Linked DNA regions of Arabidopsis thaliana. The protein of the gene in region 2 interacts with the protein of the main gene of each other region in a pairwise test. Each region holds a gene or a part of one and is shown on either strand. Other genes may lie near its edges.

Region 1 (5,670 bases), on a different chromosome or scaffold from region 2:
TTTGCCTCGTTGCTTTGCAGGTTTGTTTCTTAGTTGAAAATGAACTTGCTAGCTTGACGAACATTTGTTTGATATCTGACTAAAAACAGGAGAAACTTCAACAAACTAGGAAGCTCTATGCAACATACAATGCTCTTTTAGAAATCAAAGATTTGATGCTTAAGGAGACATCATTATTGAATTCCATAGGTTCACAGGTAAAATACAGGCATTATTATTTTGTTGATTTTCTATAACTAGCATCATCTGCTTTGTACTGTTCTCCACGTTGTACCTTTAGTTGTCATGTACTTATATCGTTGAGAATAGCTTATGTTCATTACTAAGTTGATTTACGTCTCTGCTTTCCCCTTTTAGTATATCTCTTGGTGAGTCAAAGTTTCACCATAATTCCGTTGACTTGATTGTAGTTTCAAGACGTGATTGGTACTCCTGCTGGCCGTGTGAAGCTTATTGATTCAATGGAAGGAGTCATGAAAGGAATCCAACAGGTAATCTGAGTTATATTGAATCAGGTATTTGAGGCACAAAGCATGAACTAACCCATCTTACCTATCTATAGCTGTATGATTTGTCATAACAAAATGTTTAAAGTGCAGAAGATTGGAAAAATACAACTTGGGCTTCAAGAAGAGCAGAGGCTCCGTGATGCTTCAAAAGAAAAGTATATAGCTGCAGCTGCAGAGCAAAGAAAATGCTACACTGTACTAAGAGCATACCAGGTTAGCACAAGATAGGAAATAAGTGTTTATACTGAAAAGCCCGAGAGTCATCTACTTACGTAGTGCTAAATTTCTCAATGGCAGGAGGAATGTACTAAGAATGAGAGGCTGAGAAGTCATATATCTGCCATGAACGAACACCTCTGACTCGAAGAAGGGTTTGAATAAGGTGATATGAAGTGACTCTCCTTTCGAGTTACAGCTAACCAGAGTAGAGCCAGAGTTGATTTAGATATGATTCTCTTGTGATGTGATGTATCCATATGCTCAGCCTTACATGGAAATATACGAAAATCGATAGGCCTAGAAATAGTAGGTTTGGTTGACCAATATGTTTATATATGAGCTATGAGAAAATATTATTCTCTAAATCATTGAGGAGATGAGTTTGAATACAAACCTAGAAAGGTACAGAGCATTGTACAAAGCTATCAAGTCAACAAATAACAACTTAGAAGAAGTTGACCAAAAACAAAAAAAAAACAAAAAAAACAACAACTTAGAAGAACAGCCACACTCATCGTCTCTCATATTCAGACTTTAATCATGTGGCTTCTTTTTCAGGATCTGATCTGTGAACCGGATCTCTGATATCTCGTCCCCTTGAGATGATGCTTCCTTGATGCTCTCTACCTGCAAATCATACATGTACATGGTTTTATGGCTCCTCAAACAGATTCAAGTTGATAAAACCCAGAACAGTTGATAACTCTTTACTGTTGTATCCTCATTTTATTATGTCACAATGCAAAATAAGACCTGATTACTCTACTCCACTCAGTATTTGTAAGAAGCTAACCAAAATTTCTGCTGAAATCTGGTTTTCTTTAAAAAGAAGTCACCTGGTTGTGTAAAGATCCGGTGACAGGCACTGGAGGTAGGTTGATGACTCGGCCTTGCACGAAATTCCGGGGGCATTTGTGGTGTTTCCTTAGAGCTGCCTCCTTCATACATTTGGCCTAGCTTGTATGGACCGTCACTTGTGTTGTTCTTCGACTTCGGTTTATGAGACAAACCCGTAGACCATGAGCCTCCGCTTGATCCTGCCAAGGCCATTATCACATCCGCCTGCAAAAAAATAACATTCATCAGATGAACTTCTCAATTCTCTACCTTTTTAGATATCAAAATGTAGTCAAATAACTTGAATATCAAGTGTATAAGTGTTAGGGAGAATCACCTTGTTTGGGTGAACGTCATCAAAGACATGAGCTTGACCGCCATAGAAGATGGTCATTTGCTTAGTACTCGACGCCAAGTCTTTCCGATTTCCGGTACTGCAAATACAAAGTGTATTGAAATGACTCGAAGAGTATCGAAAGACCAGAGACACAAAACACTAGAAGCTAACTGACTTTGAAGGGGCAAAACTTTCGAGCTTGCTTGAGTTTGGCATTGTAAAAGAACTCAAGATACCGGGACCTTTCATCCCTGTTCGTGAACCTTCATCAGCAGCTGTCTGAGCAATAACTGATGGGCCTACGTTCTCATCTTTGAACCTGCTAGTAGACAGCTGATGAAGCAAATGACTGATCTGTCCTCCTCCGCGTGGAGGCTGGTTTGCCAAAGGATTCACATTCATGGAGAAGCTTCCAGGTCCGTTTCTAAGCAACTAGGTTATGACAATGACATATTACAGAAACTGAGTTCTACGTAGCTGTGACCATGGTGAAGTTGTGTAGGTTCTGTTTTTTTTTTAGTTACCTTGGACCAATGCAGAGTCTCTGGGTGCTCCTGAGTCGTGAAGTGAGAATCAGAGTTACTTCTCTTATTTCCTGAAAACCGATTGCTCATGATTGAGCCAGAAACATCACTTCTTGGTCCAAACAATTGTATCCCATCAAGATGATTCCCACCGCCGCTGTGTCTTTCGACTAAACAATGATAAAATATGGATAAGTAACTTAAAGATTGTTGTGGGAGGGAACTCAAGGAGATAGAGAGAGAAAACGAGAGGCAATAAAGAAGGGCCAATTCATATAAAAAAGGATCACAACCTCAAATGGCTATGACCCACCAAACTCATCAGTCAAATTCACTCTCAATGTCCCAACTAATCCACCAGAGGGCATTATGGTTGGGCAGAGAGAGAGAGAGAGAGAGAGAGAGAGGGAGAGTCCTTAACACTACAAGAGGTCAAGCAACCACATGCCCACACACAATCCATGTTCATGTTTCTTAAATTGTCGAACTAAAAAAGCAATGAGGCAAGAAATGAAACAAGACAATGTACATTCACATTTTGTTCAACCTTATGAACCCAAAGATGTTCCATTTTCAACTTAAGAGATCTAATCATAAATGAATTGACTAAAAAATTTGAAACTAACTCACATGATCTCTTACATTTTCAAATCATGGTGAATCAAAGCTCGATCGTTAATCCAGACTAGGGGGAAAAGAAAGAATCCAACTTTAAATCGAATCTATGTAACAAAAGTTGAACTTTCTATAGATAGAAACCCTAAATGTACAGAGGAATCAGCTCAAAACCTCATCAGCGTAAGCACACTACGTCAACAACAACAAAAACATCAGGAGAGAGAGATAGAGAGACAGAGCAGAACCGAGATCGGAGGTTGAGGAGAGACCGCCGAGTCCACCGGCGGAGGAAGCAGAAGCCGTGGAAGGAGTCATCGCCGCTTTAGCCGCCTTATTATCCGGTGGTAGCCTATGGTCAGCCATGGAAGTGGATGCTAAAGTAGGATTCTTGGAGCCTAAAAAGTCATGGAACAAGAGCTTATCTTGTTCTGTCTGTCGGAGACGAGAATCAATATCAGTGGGTCGCTGGCCATTGTTGTGGTTCACCATCATGAAACCAGTGTGTCAGTGTGGCCACTTCGCCACCACATCCTCCGTTACAGTCTTTCTCTCTGTCTCTGGCAGAGTATTATTTCATGGACACACTCAACGAGAGAGAGAGAGAGAGATATTATCAGTTTTTTGTTTTTTGTTTTTCTGGGTAAGTGTATAATAAAGCTTGTCTTTTTCTTCTTCAAGCTACTTTATTGGGTTTCTCTTACATGATTTTAATTCCCTTTAATATTATAATAATCACATCTTTCAAATAATATATGATTAAAAGTTCAGCCCAAAAGAAAAAAGTACGATTGTAAAATCATGGCATTATAGACTCTTTTTAAATTAAGGTTATCATAGATTCATAATGTTATTGATTTGAGAAAGTGAGTTTGTGTATCTAATCTAACCAACACACTATAATTTGGTGTAGTAGTACAATGTTAACTACTTTACTCATATGTGGTTGTTAGATCGATTAGTTAAATAATTTTTATACACATAATTTTATCATTACGCGCCAAATAATCTGTTTTAAAATTAAAATGCAAAATGTATGCATATAACTTTACCTAAATATATGGTTTTGAGATGAGAGTTGTTGAATTTTGAATGATTATAAGTGTTTGATTTCTTACTCTAATATGAGTAAGAGAGAGAACTCATGAACCAACCACTCATGACGAATTTCTATACTCTTAAATGAAATCGATTTTACAACTACTCATGACGATTTTTCCCACTTTAATCTAGTTTAATTATGGAGTATTTAAGATGTTTATTGAAACCACCAAATTAGTATTAGCTGATTTTTTAATCAACTAGTCTCCGGACTGTGATTAATTGGGTTGATAGAAGTATAATGGTCATTTATATGGGAATTGGGAACACGTGTTGTTTTTCTTGTTCTTACTACACAAACCTTAACTAGATGTTTGTGATATGGAGGCTCAAGTATCTGGGTTAACAATAGAGCTAGGGGTAAACTTTCCAGTAGGCTTATGTTCTTCCCATATGAACATAATTCCTTCAACGACAAGACATAGCACGTGTTCTTCAAACAACAGTAGCAGGTCAACTTTAGCAACATGTTTGCTCCAAGTAGCTACCTGATATATATCCACAAGAATTCCAACTATAAAGAAAGTACTCAATAGATATTAAAAATCGAGGCTCTTCAGGAGTACCATTCATGAATAACATAACAGGGTGAGTTTTTCCAAACGATTCTTGAGAGCATCAGCGGTAGATACAGGCTGAGCTCGGTCTTGTCCAGAAGCTTTCGCATTCTTCTTAACAGTTTCAAGAATCGTTGGCCCTGCAGCCAACCCTAAGCTTGCAGGAGTAATAGAACCAGCAACTTTGCCAACTTTATTAGCTAAACTTGATGGATCTGCCCCTTCAAGTGTATCCACAGTTTTGCCATCCTTCAATAAGAAAAGGATTCAGTGCAGTGACAAAGATTCAAGCTTTGTCAATAAGCCAAAAAATTGCAACCAAACAAAGAATCAATATGCCTAAAGTTTACCTTGAAGAAGACGAAATACGGCACAAGAGCAACAGAATAAGCCTCAGATATCTCAGGATGTTCCTCAGCTTCTACCTAAGAAGATAAATAAAACCAATCAAAGTCAAAAACCAATTGAAAGAGATAAAATTCGAACAGAGACGACGAACCCTAAAGAAGTGAGCACGAGGGAAATCAGTAGCGAGATGAGAGAAAACTTGATCCATCTGCTTCGAAGCGTCACACCAAGAAGCCCAGAAGTGAAGCACGAGTGGTGCTCCGCTGTGGCGCAAGTTATCAAGCTCCTCCTTTGAAACGATATCCTTCACAGTACCACTCATCTTCGAAGAGGAAGGAGATGTCGCGTCTCTCTCGGAAGGATCTCCAACACTTTTTCTTTTCTTTTTGTGATTACCAATCTATTATCGAGCAGAATTCTTCTGTTGCTGGAGAAGGAAAAGAGATTTATGTAACTAAGAAAAAAAAATGGTCGGAGAGGGAGATTTGATTTTGTGTCTGTATCGTACGTGTCACAAACTCTCAAAAGTTTGATAACTGTCAAATATACCACATGACAAGTAAACTATCTTTTACTGGGTTATATAGTTGAAAATAATCCGCTAAACGATGATAGTGAATTTT
Region 2 (5,572 bases):
CATCGCGATACAGATAATGACTAATGAGGAGAGGCGGCTAATTGTGATTGTTTTTGTTTGTTTGTAGAAAATAGCAGCCTAGTAGATAAGAGTCGCTCTCATTTGGATAAATATTGAATTTCGATCATTGACTAATCAAAGTTAACATAATCGGTCCATTGAATTAGCCATTTTGGATTATTTAAAATTTTGTTTCTCAAAACTCACTTAGCAGTTTAACAAATTTCTTCTATGATGCGTAAGTAAAAAAGCAAATCTATCCGCTTCCTCGTAATTTTTCTTTATTGACACGAGATGAATTTTCAGCTTTGATCTAAAATAGTATAGAGACTGGGCTGGCGAGCCTACAGATCTTTAAGTGTTGACTTCAGTCAAAGTCAACTTGAATTGTTTGTCTATGGGCTTAACGGGCAATACGGGTTTGGTTTACCGAAACTGAGCCCATATCAAGTCCGCTTCAAATTGTTATAAGTTGGATAAAACAGAGTACACGAGAGAAAGAGAAGAGCGAAGAGAGTATTCTAGAGTGCCCGGACCAAATGGATAGGGTAGCTGTTATCGGGCCAAAGGCCCATTAATATTTAAGAAAATTGATGAAAAGCCCATTATTATGAGAAAATGTAAGGCCCCAATTTTTTTTCCCTAGTGTTAACCATGGCCCAAAATGTTTTTCCCCCCAAATTACTTAATTATTGTTGGGACGAAGCTGTGCTTCTTGTTTATTTTTGTGTATCTTTCATCTTCTTGTAATCATCTTTTGTGAATCTGTTTTTTGAGAACCATCTTTTGTGCATTTTGTACTTGTTAAGTTACAAGTTGTAATTCACAACGAGAGCAAAATCAGCCAATTTATATTGAACTAAGTATTCTACAAACAAGTAAATACATGTGGTGAATTTGACAACCAAGGATACAAACTAGATCAAATTTACTAAAAAATCAGATAAATAATAAATAAAACAAATATCATCATTATCAACCATTGTTTGTTGAGGCAATGGATGTCGATGACAGCGTAAAGCATCAATAATGGAGCATACATATTAAAGACATTATTAATTTACTCGGAATTCATTAAAATATTGTCCCCCAACAACTCTACATTATCCACATGCTCTTGCCCTTTCCACCACCCACATTACCTTGATCTATTTAAAGTTTTTTCATTTGTGTTTCACCGAAAAAACACCAAAAATTGATAAATGTAATATTAGAAATAAAAAAAAACAATAATTGAGGCCAGGCCAACCTTATTAAAAAAGAAAGAAATAGACACTAAACACCAATTGGATCCTGTTGAGGCCAACCTTATATATACGCACGACAATAATTGGTCTTCGAGTTACATTGATACAAAAAGATCCGCACTACTAATCTTCCGTTTGTTGGTTTTACGATTGTTAACCATCTCATGTCATTTAGCTCCACTTATTGAAAAGTTACTAAAATAAAGAATAAACAAACAAAAAGGTATAATTTAAGGTGGTTGAAAATGTTGGATAAAAAAAGATTGTTGAGAAATGAAATAATGTAAGTAATAATTTGGTACGTCAAAGTAACACATTAAGATGCCTTACGGACACAGACCATATAGACAACACGATAATGCGTAAAAACAAAAGTTGGTTTTAACGGAAATAGATGCAACCTAATTAAATATACATATTAATATATGTATATAATACATATAACAAAAACGATTTAATTTTTTAAAATGTAATACACCACAATATTAATATTATTATTAATTAATATTATAAGCAAACTCCTTGCTCGGAACAATAGTTTCGAGCCGGTTTAGCTTTCTCGGTTCGAGATATCCAACCGATCGAAACAGGCTTTCTTCCTTTTTTAGGTAAGAACACGAAATGTCGTCGAGAACTCAACTTCTGTTCTTGCACTTTTCTAATGCCCTTGGAGCTGCAATATATAGAAAATTAGTATTAGCAAAGATTCATAGTATAATTTTACACCACCAGTTTTGGATTAAACAATACTAACCAAGTCCGATTGCTTCTGATCCCTTCATTATTCGTATACGTTTGCATGAATCAACAAACATCCTAAAATAGTCCAAACAACATGTAAATAAATATTTTGTATAGACGTATTTATAATAATAATTCATATATAAATTTAAAGATATAAAAATACTCACTCCCACGGTACGTCTCCTACAAGCATCCAGTCGCCATCTTTATCTTCATATGTTGGAACATAATCTGATCCGTTTAGAAGATCGATCAATTTACTCTCATTCATGAAATCTTTCATTCCTTGTGGTCCATAGTTGCCTGAAAAATAAAATTTCAAATTTCAAACAATATATGATAAAAAGGATCATGTTTTAGTAGATAGATATATTGTCAATTTTTATTTACCTATGGTAAAAGAGCTAAACATTTTGCTTAAGGCGTTGGAGAGATCTTGGTAAGTTTTGTAGAGTTTCAAGTCAATTTTCCGTAGGTACGGTGCACCGTCCATGCTAACCTTCACATAAGCCACGGTGGCACATGCGGAGGCGGATGAGGTGGCTCCACTGCTGCCAGAAGTCTTATCGTTTCCTTCGGTGGCATCTCCGGTGGTCGGTTTTTGGCCGGACATGACGTTCTTGCGGAAAGATCGTACCGGTGGCCATCCCACAACTTGTGCCCTGAAATTTCGTAATGATTTTTTTTTTTTAATTTCAATAATACTCATTACTTCTTTTTTTTGTAAAATGTTTGTAAATGATCTAGTTGTTCTACACGTGTCGGATGTTAGGTGGTTGTAGTTGTCCAAAAGTTTATTTAATCTTTAATCTTTTTGGTAGATAAAGAAAGATTCCTTATGTTTTGTATTTTTCTAGTTCTTCCCGACAAAAAAATAATCAAACAGACTCTCAACCTAACTACAATTGAAACATGGAGCAAAACCAAATAAAAAACAAAGATCTTAGGAGAAGTATCAGCATAATTATTCCGTTCGAGTTCCCTAACCTAGCTAGAAATCATGTTAAAGCGTATACATCTCTACATAATGACCGCCTAGTATAACCTAATTTTACCGAACCTAGAAGACAATATTATTAGTTGAAATAGAGATTGAAATTCAGTTTCTTACTTGGCTGGTGGTTTTACGACCTTCTCCTTCATATTCTCTAAATCGACTTTGGAAACTGAATCCATAGCCGTCGATGAAAGATTCAGTTTGAGATCAACAGTCTCAGAAAATCCTCTTTTACCATTATTTTTTCCAGCCATTTCTCCTCCGTGATTCCCACCCGGTAGCCCTAATCTCAGCTCCGTGGCCTCAAAATTAATCATATTTCTCGATATAATGATTATCAACGAGTAATTAGTTAGGTGATCCGATCGACAACGAGTAGGAGATTCTTCGGCTTCTAGGGTTTTTCTTTTAGTTCTTTTGATATTTTTTTGGGGAACTAAAACGTTTGAAGAGAGAGAGAGATAGGGGGATGTGAGATGTGTGTAGAGAAACAAAGGGCTAAATATTGGATCGTGTGTGGTATAAAATTATATATGGAATTGATCATTGAGGATGATTATTTGAACGGAGGTGATGTTGCCAGGTGGATGCTGGGATTGGTTGGACCGTAAGGAGTGTTGTCGGGAGAGAATGATGTCACGAATGGCGTCATTTTCCTGAGAATAATTGCGGCCAAGCCAGTGGGCAAAGGCCAACTTGGCACAGTCTCTCCTTTTCTGTGTCGAATTTATCCACCCAAAATAAATTCTAATCAAACTTGAAATATGAATCATTTTTACCACTCGCATAAAAAGGTATACCTCTTCTTTTTAGTACTTTAATCAGTTTTTACGGCAAAAGATATTCGAGTCTTTTGAAAAAATATCAAAAACAGAAATATCAATTTGATGAAAAATAATAGCAAAGAAAAAAAAGAAGAAAAAGACTAAATATATAAATAAAGAGTGTTTTGTCGGAGATTATTTTTATTTAATTGGTGATGGTTTATATGAAAATGGAATTAAAAAATGACAGCTAAGACATAATGGAGCCCACAGATGGGAAAGAAATCGAAAGTGGTCAGCTTCAAACATGTGTTTTGATTCCCGTGGATTCGATTCGTTCGTTGTCCTTCTTATGGGGTCCGCCATTCACAAGGCCTATTGGCCTATGCTTGCCTTTTTTTAAGACTATTTTCAATTTCTTATATTATAAAATGCCGACAAATACTAATTGAATTCAAATAAATTTTAAAGTTTAAACGAACTAAAAGTCCTGGTCTGCCATAGCATTTTCGTACTATACTTCCCATGTGCCCCTGTGGCCTTGTCTTGGCTCTAAATTCATGGATTATTGTGAAGTCAATAGATAATTAGGGATTCATGTTAATTCAAGTAATTGTGCGTTAAACATGATTACCAATTATGTAATTAGGAAACATTCCTTCCGATCAATGATTATAATATAGTATAATGCTGGGAATAATTTAATCTAGTGCTAATTTTTTTCTATGCAGGTGCAAATGCTAACTAATTCTTATGTGTATTGGGTTATATAATCTTCGGTGGGGAGGGCCAAACACGACTAACTCAACAGTAAATGGTCAACCATATGTGGTATGGGCGGCGGTACATGTCATGCCCATTTCGTCGACCCTAAAATATGGTAATGTAGTATTTTTTCACAAAGGAGCATAATAATAATAGCGTTGATAAATAAATGGCTCCATGCAAATTATATATAATAAAATTATAACAGCATAATGATCATCAACATCATTTATTGCTAAACATCATCATGTTCATGCCCCCATGCATGATTACGATGGAAGAATCTGACATAAAAAATTGAAGGTCCAAATTGACAACGACTTCATCTTAATCTTATAATCTACATGTCAAGAATTTTATATAAATAAAATTGATTAAATTTATATAGGTGAAAAATTTCATATAAACGTGAGGAGGAGGAGGAGAATGAGATAAAAGGGTCCACCTGGGCCCAAAAACACCAACCCTGTTGAGAGATGTTAGGACCCTCGTGTGGGCTGGGCCCAGTCAAAAATCATTGTCTTGTTGTGTATAACAAACATTACAGGTTCACACGTGTGACACACTAGGTCCTTAAATGCTATGAATATATGTGATCTGATTTGTTTTATTTTACCATTAATAAGAAGGAGCTTAAATCGAACAAAACTGAATGATAAAACAAGATTTCACCACTGTATATATCGTAATACAATAATACATGCTGAAAAATATTAAGGTAAATGTGTAGATGTAGAGAACAACATGGCTTAAACACAACCAAACCCATAAATTTATTATTCATGGATATTGGATATATGCATTATATGCATTATTATAAATTAATTGACCTCGTATTAACATTTTTCTAGAAATTGGTGCAGGGGGTGAATCGCGTCTACATCTATGTATTTTACTACATCCCCGTCTGTAAGGATTCACTGGTTGTTCGGAGGGTGCACATGCAGAAGGATACCGATGATGATCACAAGGAAGATCAGGCTTCAACCCTGGATACCCAATTACTTTTCCAACCGTCATGTTCATGCTGCTTATGAACACACATGCTATGAATG
Region 3 (4,583 bases), 7.0 Mb from region 2:
TTTTTTTCCGGTGACAGATGAAGACGACACGAGTGGTTGTAGAAGCACTCGCTACATTGAGAGCTAATTGGAAGAGCAGAGAGGTTTTGCCTCTGTAGAGAGGAACAATGAGTGAGACAGAGTAAAGAGAGAATCAAATTTAAGAGAAAAGCGTCTGAGGAAGAAAGATACGAGGAAATTGGACCGGAGAGAAGCGAGAGATTTCCCCGACGGTGATTCTCGTCGCCGGAGCTCCGCTTCGTCGGGAAGAATCTCTCTACCATTTTGTATCAAAGGCCAAAGGGAAATTGAAGCATCAACAATAAAACGAAGCTCCTAAACCGGAAAAAAAACTTCGGTTCGGTTGAATTCGGAGACGGCAAATTTCGATTTGGTTCAGGTTAATAATTATTGGTTCCGAATTGGAAACCTGGTTCGGTCTATAACAAAGCCATCAAACAATTTCGGTTCGGTATACTTGTGTGGTTGTTTAATGTAAACATCCATTTCTTTAATCCATTATCCATTGATTCAAACCCATTTATGTAACAAAGCATTCAATCTATAGACAATAAATTATCAAACACAAATTAATATTTAAGGTACCAAAGAAACGTCATCGTTTAACTTCACACAATTATACCTTTCTCAAATAAAGGGCACAATTTTTTCTTTTCTTTTCTTTTAAGCTACCTTAATTATGTTATGAATTAGATATTCAAAAATTACAATACAAAGCAGTGTCTAAATTTTTAAAAATAATTAGATTATTATTATCTCGATTTTGTTTTTGGTGGGCTATTATCTTAAAGGACAACATCTAGTTTAAGAGTAATCAATAGTTTTCCTTACCAAAAAAAACGTAATCAATAGTTTTATATGTTTTGTATAATTATAATTTAAATATTTTTTGTCATCAATATGGGGCTTAAATTTGGATGATGACGCATAGACGTCGTTAACACATAAACTACAAATGTTTAGAGATTTGAGATTTTAATTAAAAATGTTTATGATCATTAAGCTCCTTTTTCTCAAGTTATTTATTATAAAACTACGTAACTTTACCTTTTCCGCCATAGTTGAACTTTCAAAACCTCATTAGAAAATGATTATAACAGTGAATTAATCTAGTACTTATATTATTTTAATTGCTGTTGTTGTTATAGTGGCATCCAATGTTTGTTGGATAATTATTTCATCAACAAGGCAATATTAATATACGTAGACTCTTTGATTACTTGTCATTGATTATTAATTACTCGTACAAGCTAAACTACTCAATTTTGGAGAAACAAATGAATTCAATTTTTTGAAAACGCAGCCTCTAATTAATACACTAACTACATCACATCAAGAGTTAGAGTGTGTTTTTTTCTCGGTAAACAAAAGCTTTTGAATTTCTTAGCCTTAACTAATTTGCACCATTTCACTTTACTCCTCAAACATGTTAACTAGAGCCCGGCTAAGAGATCTTGTTCCCCGCCGGTTCTAGCCAATACATCGAACCAGAAGTCCATCTCACTGTCAAAAATCATCTCATTATTAGCGGAGCCCAAGTTTTGAAACTCTTGTTGTATCTCAACTAAACCAGCCACTTCTAGGTCATTCGATACGTAGTTGTGTTCATCTTGGCTATACAGTGTCTCTTTCCAGAAGCTTTCATCGATATCCGCACCAAAAGTTTCGAAAGAAACACATTCTTGATCGATAGTACTGATATCTCCCGGTTTGTTATCCATATTAATCTCGTTGCTATAGCCGTCGTGGCTTATGAGTGTCATCGAAGAAACCTCACTTGTCGAAGGCGATGTCGAAAATAAGCTTTCTCCAGAAGGGTTTGATGAATCTGCTAGCTCCGATTCGCTTCTAGTACTGTTCGAGCTCGTTATTACGGATTCAGATTTTGGTTTAGTACCCTTCTTTTTGTTGCTGGTCTTAGGTTTAGCTGGTTGATAATCTTCGAGTCTCTTCTTCAAGTGAGTGTGCCATACGTTCTTGATCTCGTTATCGGTTCTTCCAGGCAGTTTTGCTGCAATCGCTGACCATCTAAAGATGATACCAAAAGGAAAACGAAGAACATCAATACAAAAGTAATTAAAGAGCCGATCATTGTGTAGTTAAAAGAATAGTAGTGCGACCTAGACGTGTGTATAAAGTTACTTTCTTTTGGTGATTTATATATAGTAAGAAAACAAAATAAAACTTGTGTGTCGGTTATATACTTATATGTGAAGTAAAATACCTATTGCCAAGTATTTGGTGTAAGCTGATGATAGCATCTTCCTCTTCTTTGGTGAAATTGCCACGTTTAATATCAGGCTTTAAATAGTTCATCCACCTAAGTCTACAGCTTTTTCCACATCTCAAAAGACCTGTAAATAATAATTACCAATAATTAATGTAAGAAATTTGATCAAAATTAAGAAATTTGATATTATAATTTTTACATACCAGCTTGCTTAGGGAGGGCTCGCCAGTTACTATGTCCATGGTTGAGGATAAAAGAGACCAAGATTTGATCTTCTTCAGGTGTCCATGGTCCTCTCTTCAACCCCATCTTCTCACAGCATGGAGCTCTTCCCATCTCTTTGATTTGTGATTGCTGATAAAAGAAGTTGAAATGTTTTTCTTGTGGTGATGATCAAGATATAATGTGGAGATCAAATTCCTATGAGCTTGAGATCAAATGCTGTTGATGAACATGAGAATGACTGACTAAGGGGTTTGAGTATTTATACTAAAATTGTCAAAAGACATGTGGGAGAATTCAAAAGCATTGGTGAGCTTCTTGGAAAATAGGATGTGAGAGAGAGAGAGAGAGATGTCTTTTTGATTATTGGCAACATAGTCAAAAGTATGTTTTACATAATATTATATCTCATGTGGGAATGAATGATATATATGTTTTAGGGACCGGAGAAAATATTATTATAATAATCGGTCTGCATGTATATATAAATGTGTGTATACAGTGTGATGTTGAAATATGTGGTGTAGTGTGTGATATAGTTTCGAGTAAACAAAGTCGTCGGGTAGACGCACGAAGGGCATTAAAATGAGCCCACACGTATATTTCTTAGAAAATAAACGTTTTAGAGATTGTAAACGACAAACAAAAATCAACGTTGGGTGGATTATGTGTTGACCCAAAAAATCACTATTCATATATCTGCTCGAAAAATTGTTTTACTTTTCTTAGTATTAAACTTAGACATCTTTAGTCTCGGTAGTAATCGTGTTTAGGTTAACAACATCCGTACGTTTTGTATTCTTTCTATTTCTAATTAAGTGTAATTTAAAGATTTTTTATTTTTTTTACTATAAGTGTTGTTTTCACTTTTCTATGCAAAATTAAATGTGTTTAATAGTTTTTAACCAATTATATTTTATATCATATTTTTTTATTGGTTGGATTAATTGTAATTAATAATATTTTTATAAGAAAGAGATAAATTAAATGAGATTTGTATGTTTTCTTAATTTGTGTGCAAAAATTTTAAACTACAAATATTCAAAAATAGAGGGAATAATATTTACTGCATTTACGTTTATTATGACGCCATTTTCAGTCTTTATTTTTAGACTGCTGAATGCCTTAAAACAATTTATTGGTCATAATTAATTGTTAACGTATCGAATAGAAAAAAAACTAACTTTTTCATAAATTATATAAATGATTTTGAGATTCATATAAAATAAATATGTGCTACATAGTTCAGTCAAAAATAATTTACTTCCATTTTATCAAACAATTCGATTAATATGTGTATTTGATACAATACTATAACTACCAAATATGTAACATATTCTAAAGTTTTTTTTTGATAAATAAATTATTCTAAAATTTCCTCACCATTTTATTTTACTTCAAAATCTGGTTATTACAAATTTGCAACTACTGTTTGGGCTTTGAGAAAACAATCCTCTACGAAAAATTACCAGTTTTATACTAGTATATATGCTTTAATATTATTATTACACCAGCCACAAAATCCAAAAATAGAACACGAAAAAATCAATATCTGTCCGCGGGAAAGAGAACAGCTCGTGATAGTATTTGTTGACCAACGCGTTCACACGTATCGCACCCTTTTAAGTTTCAACCTAAAACTTTACCCTTCTTCTGTATTTTGTTAGTATTTGTTAAAATAGAACTCTATTGTTCAAAGTTTCTGGTCAACAAAAGACTGAAAAGAGGCTTACCTACAGGTTTTAGTTTTACCATATAAATTTACACTAACAATTAAACCATCATTATATTTTATTAGAAAACAATAAATAATGTTTAATGAAGAATGATAATGATTAAATGATCATTTATTAAAAAATCTTTTTTGCGTTACTAGTGTTAAATAATTAAAGTACTGTAACATGAAGCATACTGACATATAAAATTTATGTACCCAGTTTATTGGGTCAGAAAGACAAATTATCAATTGCATCATGTTTGGGTTTAGTTAAGGTTTTGCTAGCCTAATAAATATAATATTTATATGTATTTCGTTGTAAACATAATCCACAGCTTAATGTGAAAATCACTTTCATCTCTATCTTTTTGTTTCTTTCTCAGATTTGATATGGTATGAAACCAAAACATCAAT
Region 4 (4,858 bases), on a different chromosome or scaffold from region 2:
AGTATCTCAATTTTTGTTTTTTTTGTATTATAAAATAAAAGCCCACAAGGTCACAAGGAAATTATAAACTAAGAAAGTGAACTGCTCTTATTTCTTAATTGTGTTTTGTGTAATTAAGACTTGAATGGTCATTAGCAATTGCCGCAATTTGGTAGTTAGTGCTTCTTTTACGAATCAATAAAAATGAGATTAGTCCCCACTCACCTAGAGGAACAACCGCCACCGTAGTTGAGACAACAACTTGTCGTGTTTGTTAGAACTTTTCTAAAACGAATTAAGTTTGTCGATTAGAACAATTATACCTAAAAGGTCAAAACATGAAAATGAAACATATTTTTTGACCGTCAAAAAGAAAAATATATCTTAAAACATTAGTCATCAAGAAGCAGAAATAATAATCTTAAGCAAGAAAGTAATAGTTTTCAGGTAAAATCTTAATATGTATTGGTGATTTGATGTTTTCATTTGTTTGATTTTAAAGAAATATAAAAATAGGGATTAGTGATAATTAAGTCGAAAATGTAAAGCAATAAAAAAAATCTATTTACCAAGACTTACTATATATACTTTTAGGCCAAAATTTACAATTCTGCCACCCAAGAGCAATTGTTCATATATCATCTATAACATAGAGTCTAATTTTACAACACTGATAGCCCGCAATATAAACCAAAAACTTTATATTATCAAAACTTAATAATAATCGAGATTTTGGTCTTAACAAAACTCGTAACAAACTTTGGTTTATGAATATATTTCAGTAACTATATTATCAGTTGATTATGATATTTTTATTTTATTGTTTATCTTTTGATTCTTTCTCACAATTGTATGTTCCAGAAAACGGATGATCATGGTATATAAGTGCACATATTTGGTAGGACCAATAATTAATAGTAACTTCAAGTAAATCATATAAATTCACAAGCATGACATGACAACCTCTTGAAGCTAATATCATACGTGACATAATTAATGGCGAAGGCCGAAGGGTAAAGGAACAATATGTGTTTTTAATTAACTAGCTTAACAAGTTAAGGCTTTATAGTAATGTTTAGAACATTCTTTCGTTTTGAATTAGTATCAATCTCACACTTTTAAATTTTAAGATGGTAAAAAATATTATTATTATACCTTACTACCAAATTTTTAGTTATTTAATGTTTTGGAACAAAGATGAGATATTGTTATTTATTATGACTTTCTCTTTGTTATCTACTTCAATACTCTTCCCACTAATTATCTGACACGTTTCTACACTGTTGTAAATTTGATGTCTGATAGTGCAAGACAAGCAATCTCCCATAATCCTAATTCTTGGCTCTCTTCTTTTTTTTCTTTCCCTTTACTGATAATTTGTTTTGGGTGAATATGAAAATCTTAGAGCATCCACATTACTCATACCTTTGTAGATATCTCAAAAATAAATTAAAATTAAATTAAAGACAGCTTCTATTTTAGAGATCTAAAATGTCTTTCTAAAGACACTATTACACAATTAAAAACATTAAATTATCTTTTTCTATTATTTTTAATTTAAAGACACCCTCAAAGTATCACCAATGAAGAATGAGGATGGTCTTATATTCAATATAACCTTCAATTCATCAATGACTGCGATATATCAATATTATAAAATGACATTTCATGAGTAAAAATGTATATAAAAATGAATAACTACTTATCTTATAAAGTCTAATTTAGTGATTGTTGTTGTTTCTTCAAATTTTAAATTAAATGATGTAGCTTTTTTTGTTTCAAATAATTTAGCTACACTTTTTCTTTTCCATATTTTGATCACAATTGTATTGTTTTTGTCTATATATTATCACCCAAATTTTAATTTGGTAGAGACATTATTGAATAAAATATCCTATATATGAATTAATAAAATGAAAACTAGGTGTAATTAATTAATGATCTTTTTTCTCTTTGTCTGTAGAAAAGTGAGGAAATAATTAGCTATGGCTATGGCTCTCATGTGTCTTTCTCATGCTTTATTGGCTTTCACTACTAATACTCTAAGCCCTTAGTTTAAGAAGTGCCTTCACATCCAAAACCCACCTGCAATTCTCTCTTTCTCTCTCTCTCTCTCTCTCTCTTTATCTTCTTTCTTCAAAGTCTATCACTTTATAAAACCCTAATTAAATCTCTAAACTCCTTAGCCTCTCTCTATTCTCAGAACCTTGTGGTTATTCTCAAGAAAGGTTTCATTTTGAGATAAAGTTTGCTGCTCTTTCTGGTTGTGGGTATGTGCTCTTAACTTCTTCAGTCAATTTTTTCATTTGGTTTAAATAGAACAATTTTGTTTTGGTGATACAATAAAGATTGTCTTCTTGATTATCATCAACCTCTCACTTGGAATAAGACCTTTCTTTCTCAAGTGGGTTTGTCAGCTTTTGCTTAAGCAGGCTTGCAATAAGTTTTTCTTTTCTTTTGTACTTTTTCGTTTTGTTCTCTATCTTTATGGACCTTCTAAAATTAGGGTTTTTCTTTTTGTTTGGAGGAAATAATTAAAAAAATGGGGTTAATGAGTAGTGAAGAAAGCTCTTGCCTTTTTGTAGCTTAATCATTTGAATTTTACTCATTAATTATCTTTACTCTTGTTTTTTTCTTCCTAACTAGTTTCTTTGTCCCCAAACCAAGAAACACTTTGCAAAACCCAAAAAAAGTTTTAAATATAAAATCGTGTTTATTTCCTTGGCAGATAGATCAAAAGAATGGAGATTGCAAGTCAAGAAGATCCTATTCCAATAAACACTAGTTATGGTAATAGTGGAGGTGGGCATGGGAACATGAACCATCATCATCATGCCAATTCTGCACCATCATCTCTCAACATTACTACTTCAAACCCACTACTAGTCTCCTCAAATAGTAATGGTCTTGGTAAAAATCATGATCATTCTCATCATCATCATGTGGGTTACAACATCATGGTTACCAACATCAAGAAAGAGAAGCCTGTGGTGATAAAGTACAAGGAATGCCTAAAGAACCATGCAGCTACCATGGGAGGCAATGCCATTGATGGTTGTGGAGAGTTTATGCCAAGTGGTGAAGAAGGTTCCATTGAAGCTCTCACTTGCTCAGTTTGCAACTGCCATAGAAACTTTCATAGAAGAGAAACCGAAGGTGAAGAGAAAACATTCTTTTCCCCTTACCTCAACCACCACCAACCACCTCCGCAGCAGAGAAAACTCATGTTCCACCACAAGATGATCAAATCACCATTACCACAACAAATGATAATGCCTATTGGCGTTACAACCGCTGGATCCAACTCAGAGTCAGAGGATCTTATGGAGGAAGAAGGCGGAGGAAGCTTGACATTCCGGCAGCCACCACCACCACCATCACCGTATAGTTACGGACATAATCAGAAGAAAAGGTTTAGGACAAAGTTTACACAAGAGCAAAAGGAGAAGATGATTAGTTTTGCGGAAAGAGTTGGTTGGAAGATTCAGAGACAAGAGGAATCTGTTGTTCAACAGCTTTGTCAAGAGATTGGAATTAGGAGAAGAGTTCTTAAAGTTTGGATGCACAACAACAAACAAAATCTCTCCAAGAAGAGCAACAACGTTAGTAACAATGTCGACCTTTCTGCTGGTAATAACGACATTACTGAAAATCTTGCTTCTACTAATCCTTAGTTAAGTTCAGATTGTTGTTATATAACTTCACTCATGTGATTACTTAATTAATTAAGTACTTTCTTATCGTATGGTTAATGTTTTCTCCTTTCTCGGCTAATCATTGTTTAGGTAGCTTTATAAACATGTGTTTTATTAGGGTACCTATAATCTTGGTTTTGGAGCGTGTAAGATAAGTTTTTGATGTTTTCTTATAATGTATGTTTAAGAAAATTCTTGGCGATTTAACCAATGCATTGGGATGTGCACTGTTATTATTTACTTCGAATCATTAGACTTTGTAGTTCGTGATATCATTTGTCACGTTTACTATTTATGTGAGTAGCAGAATTTTAGATTCTCATAGGTAACTCTTTTTGTTTTTGTTTTTTGAATTCTGATATTTATTAAAGGAAGTGTATCATACAAAGTCCATAACAAAATTAATACTAGTTACCTAAATCTTACGCCGGTCTTGTTTTGATTTGTCTTGTTTCTTTTTTGTCGTTGTTTTGATTTAACAAAATATTTTTTTTTGATTTGTCTTGTTTTTTAAACATCCGGTCTTGCTTTGATTCTATTATTTTGTTTTCTAGTTTGAAAAAATATTTTCATTCTCATGATCGAAAAATAAATTGCACGGAAAACAAAGAGAGCAATAAATTACGATTTCTATCAATGGAGAGAGTTGGAGATTGTCCTGGCGAGTGTAAGTCAAGTCCTAATATGTATGACGTATTAGGTTGAGTAAATGTTTGGTTGGTGTACTAGTAAACTCATTTATGGACCTTTTCTTTTATTTGAACAATTATGTGCATTTACTTTATGTGACTTCTTGGCATATTGCAAGTCGTGTAATGTGATATGGGATAAAATATGTCATGCATCAAAATGGAGTTACGATTTTAAGATGTTGTTGTTCCTTGTGATATCACATGTTTCATTTATTGTAATATTAAATGTAACATTTTCACTTGTTGTTTTATAGTAGTATAATTTTTTATGCCTATAGTTTATCACTCGATTTCAGTAAAACATCAATAATGAATTGCGTATTGCGTATTTCGTGGAAGATAAAAATTCAATTAACTGACATAGTTTATTGATTGCCATTACTATTATTTTGTTATTGAAACGTCATTTTATTCAAATATATTTTTATCTCCTTCAAGATTGACATAGCATTATAGCACTATAACAATATAAAATATATATATATATATATA

What was found.
Region 1: the proteins of IAA16 (region 2) and TIFY8 interact in binary tests that used the Arabidopsis thaliana proteins (3 or more experiments, as listed by UniProt).
Region 3: the proteins of IAA16 (region 2) and MYB15 interact in binary tests that used the Arabidopsis thaliana proteins (3 or more experiments, as listed by UniProt).
Region 4: the proteins of IAA16 (region 2) and HB21 interact in binary tests that used the Arabidopsis thaliana proteins (3 or more experiments, as listed by UniProt).

The regions. Positions count from the first base shown.
Region 1 is NC_003075.7:15,715,167-15,720,836, forward strand, and holds TIFY8 (TIFY domain protein 8), read right to left. Parts: upstream 3,702-5,670; 5' UTR 3,537-3,701; coding exon 3,290-3,536; intron 2,597-3,289; coding exon 2,427-2,596; intron 2,335-2,426; coding exon 2,078-2,334; intron 2,000-2,077; coding exon 1,903-1,999; intron 1,791-1,902; coding exon 1,565-1,790; coding exon of another isoform or gene 1,500-1,564; intron 1,494-1,499; exon of another isoform or gene 1,356-1,493; coding exon 1,267-1,355; 3' UTR 1,066-1,266; downstream 1-1,065. Other genes in the region: AT4G32560 (paramyosin-like protein), read left to right, coding at 90-197, 411-491, 600-722, 807-869; AT4G32580 (Thioredoxin superfamily protein), read right to left, coding at 4,712-4,948, 5,050-5,124, 5,199-5,369. UniProt on the Arabidopsis thaliana protein: Repressor of jasmonate responses.
Region 2 is NC_003074.8:1,287,111-1,292,682, forward strand, and holds IAA16 (indoleacetic acid-induced protein 16), read right to left. Parts: upstream 3,782-5,572; 5' UTR 3,306-3,781; coding exon 3,103-3,305; intron 2,654-3,102; coding exon 2,382-2,653; intron 2,295-2,381; coding exon 2,159-2,294; intron 2,064-2,158; coding exon 2,002-2,063; intron 1,921-2,001; coding exon 1,883-1,920; 3' UTR 1,045-1,882; downstream 1-1,044. Other genes in the region: RALFL21 (RALF-like 21), read right to left, coding at 5,298-5,572. UniProt on the Arabidopsis thaliana protein: Aux/IAA proteins are short-lived transcriptional factors that function as repressors of early auxin response genes at low auxin concentrations.
Region 3 is NC_003074.8:8,307,475-8,312,057, reverse strand, and holds MYB15 (myb domain protein 15), read right to left. Parts: upstream 2,850-4,583; 5' UTR 2,567-2,849; coding exon 2,434-2,566; exon of another isoform or gene 2,355-2,433; coding exon 2,225-2,354; intron 2,029-2,224; coding exon 1,434-2,028; 3' UTR 1,148-1,433; downstream 1-1,147. Other genes in the region: AT3G23255 (tRNA dimethylallyltransferase), read right to left, coding at 1-92, 172-263. UniProt on the Arabidopsis thaliana protein: Transcription factor involved in cold-regulation of CBF genes and in the development of freezing tolerance. May be part of a complex network of transcription factors controlling the expression of CBF genes and other genes in response to cold stress.
Region 4 is NC_003071.7:681,582-686,439, forward strand, and holds HB21 (homeobox protein 21), read left to right. Parts: upstream 1-2,053; 5' UTR 2,054-2,249; intron 2,250-2,707; 5' UTR 2,708-2,720; coding exon 2,721-3,653; 3' UTR 3,654-3,915; downstream 3,916-4,858. UniProt on the Arabidopsis thaliana protein: Putative transcription factor.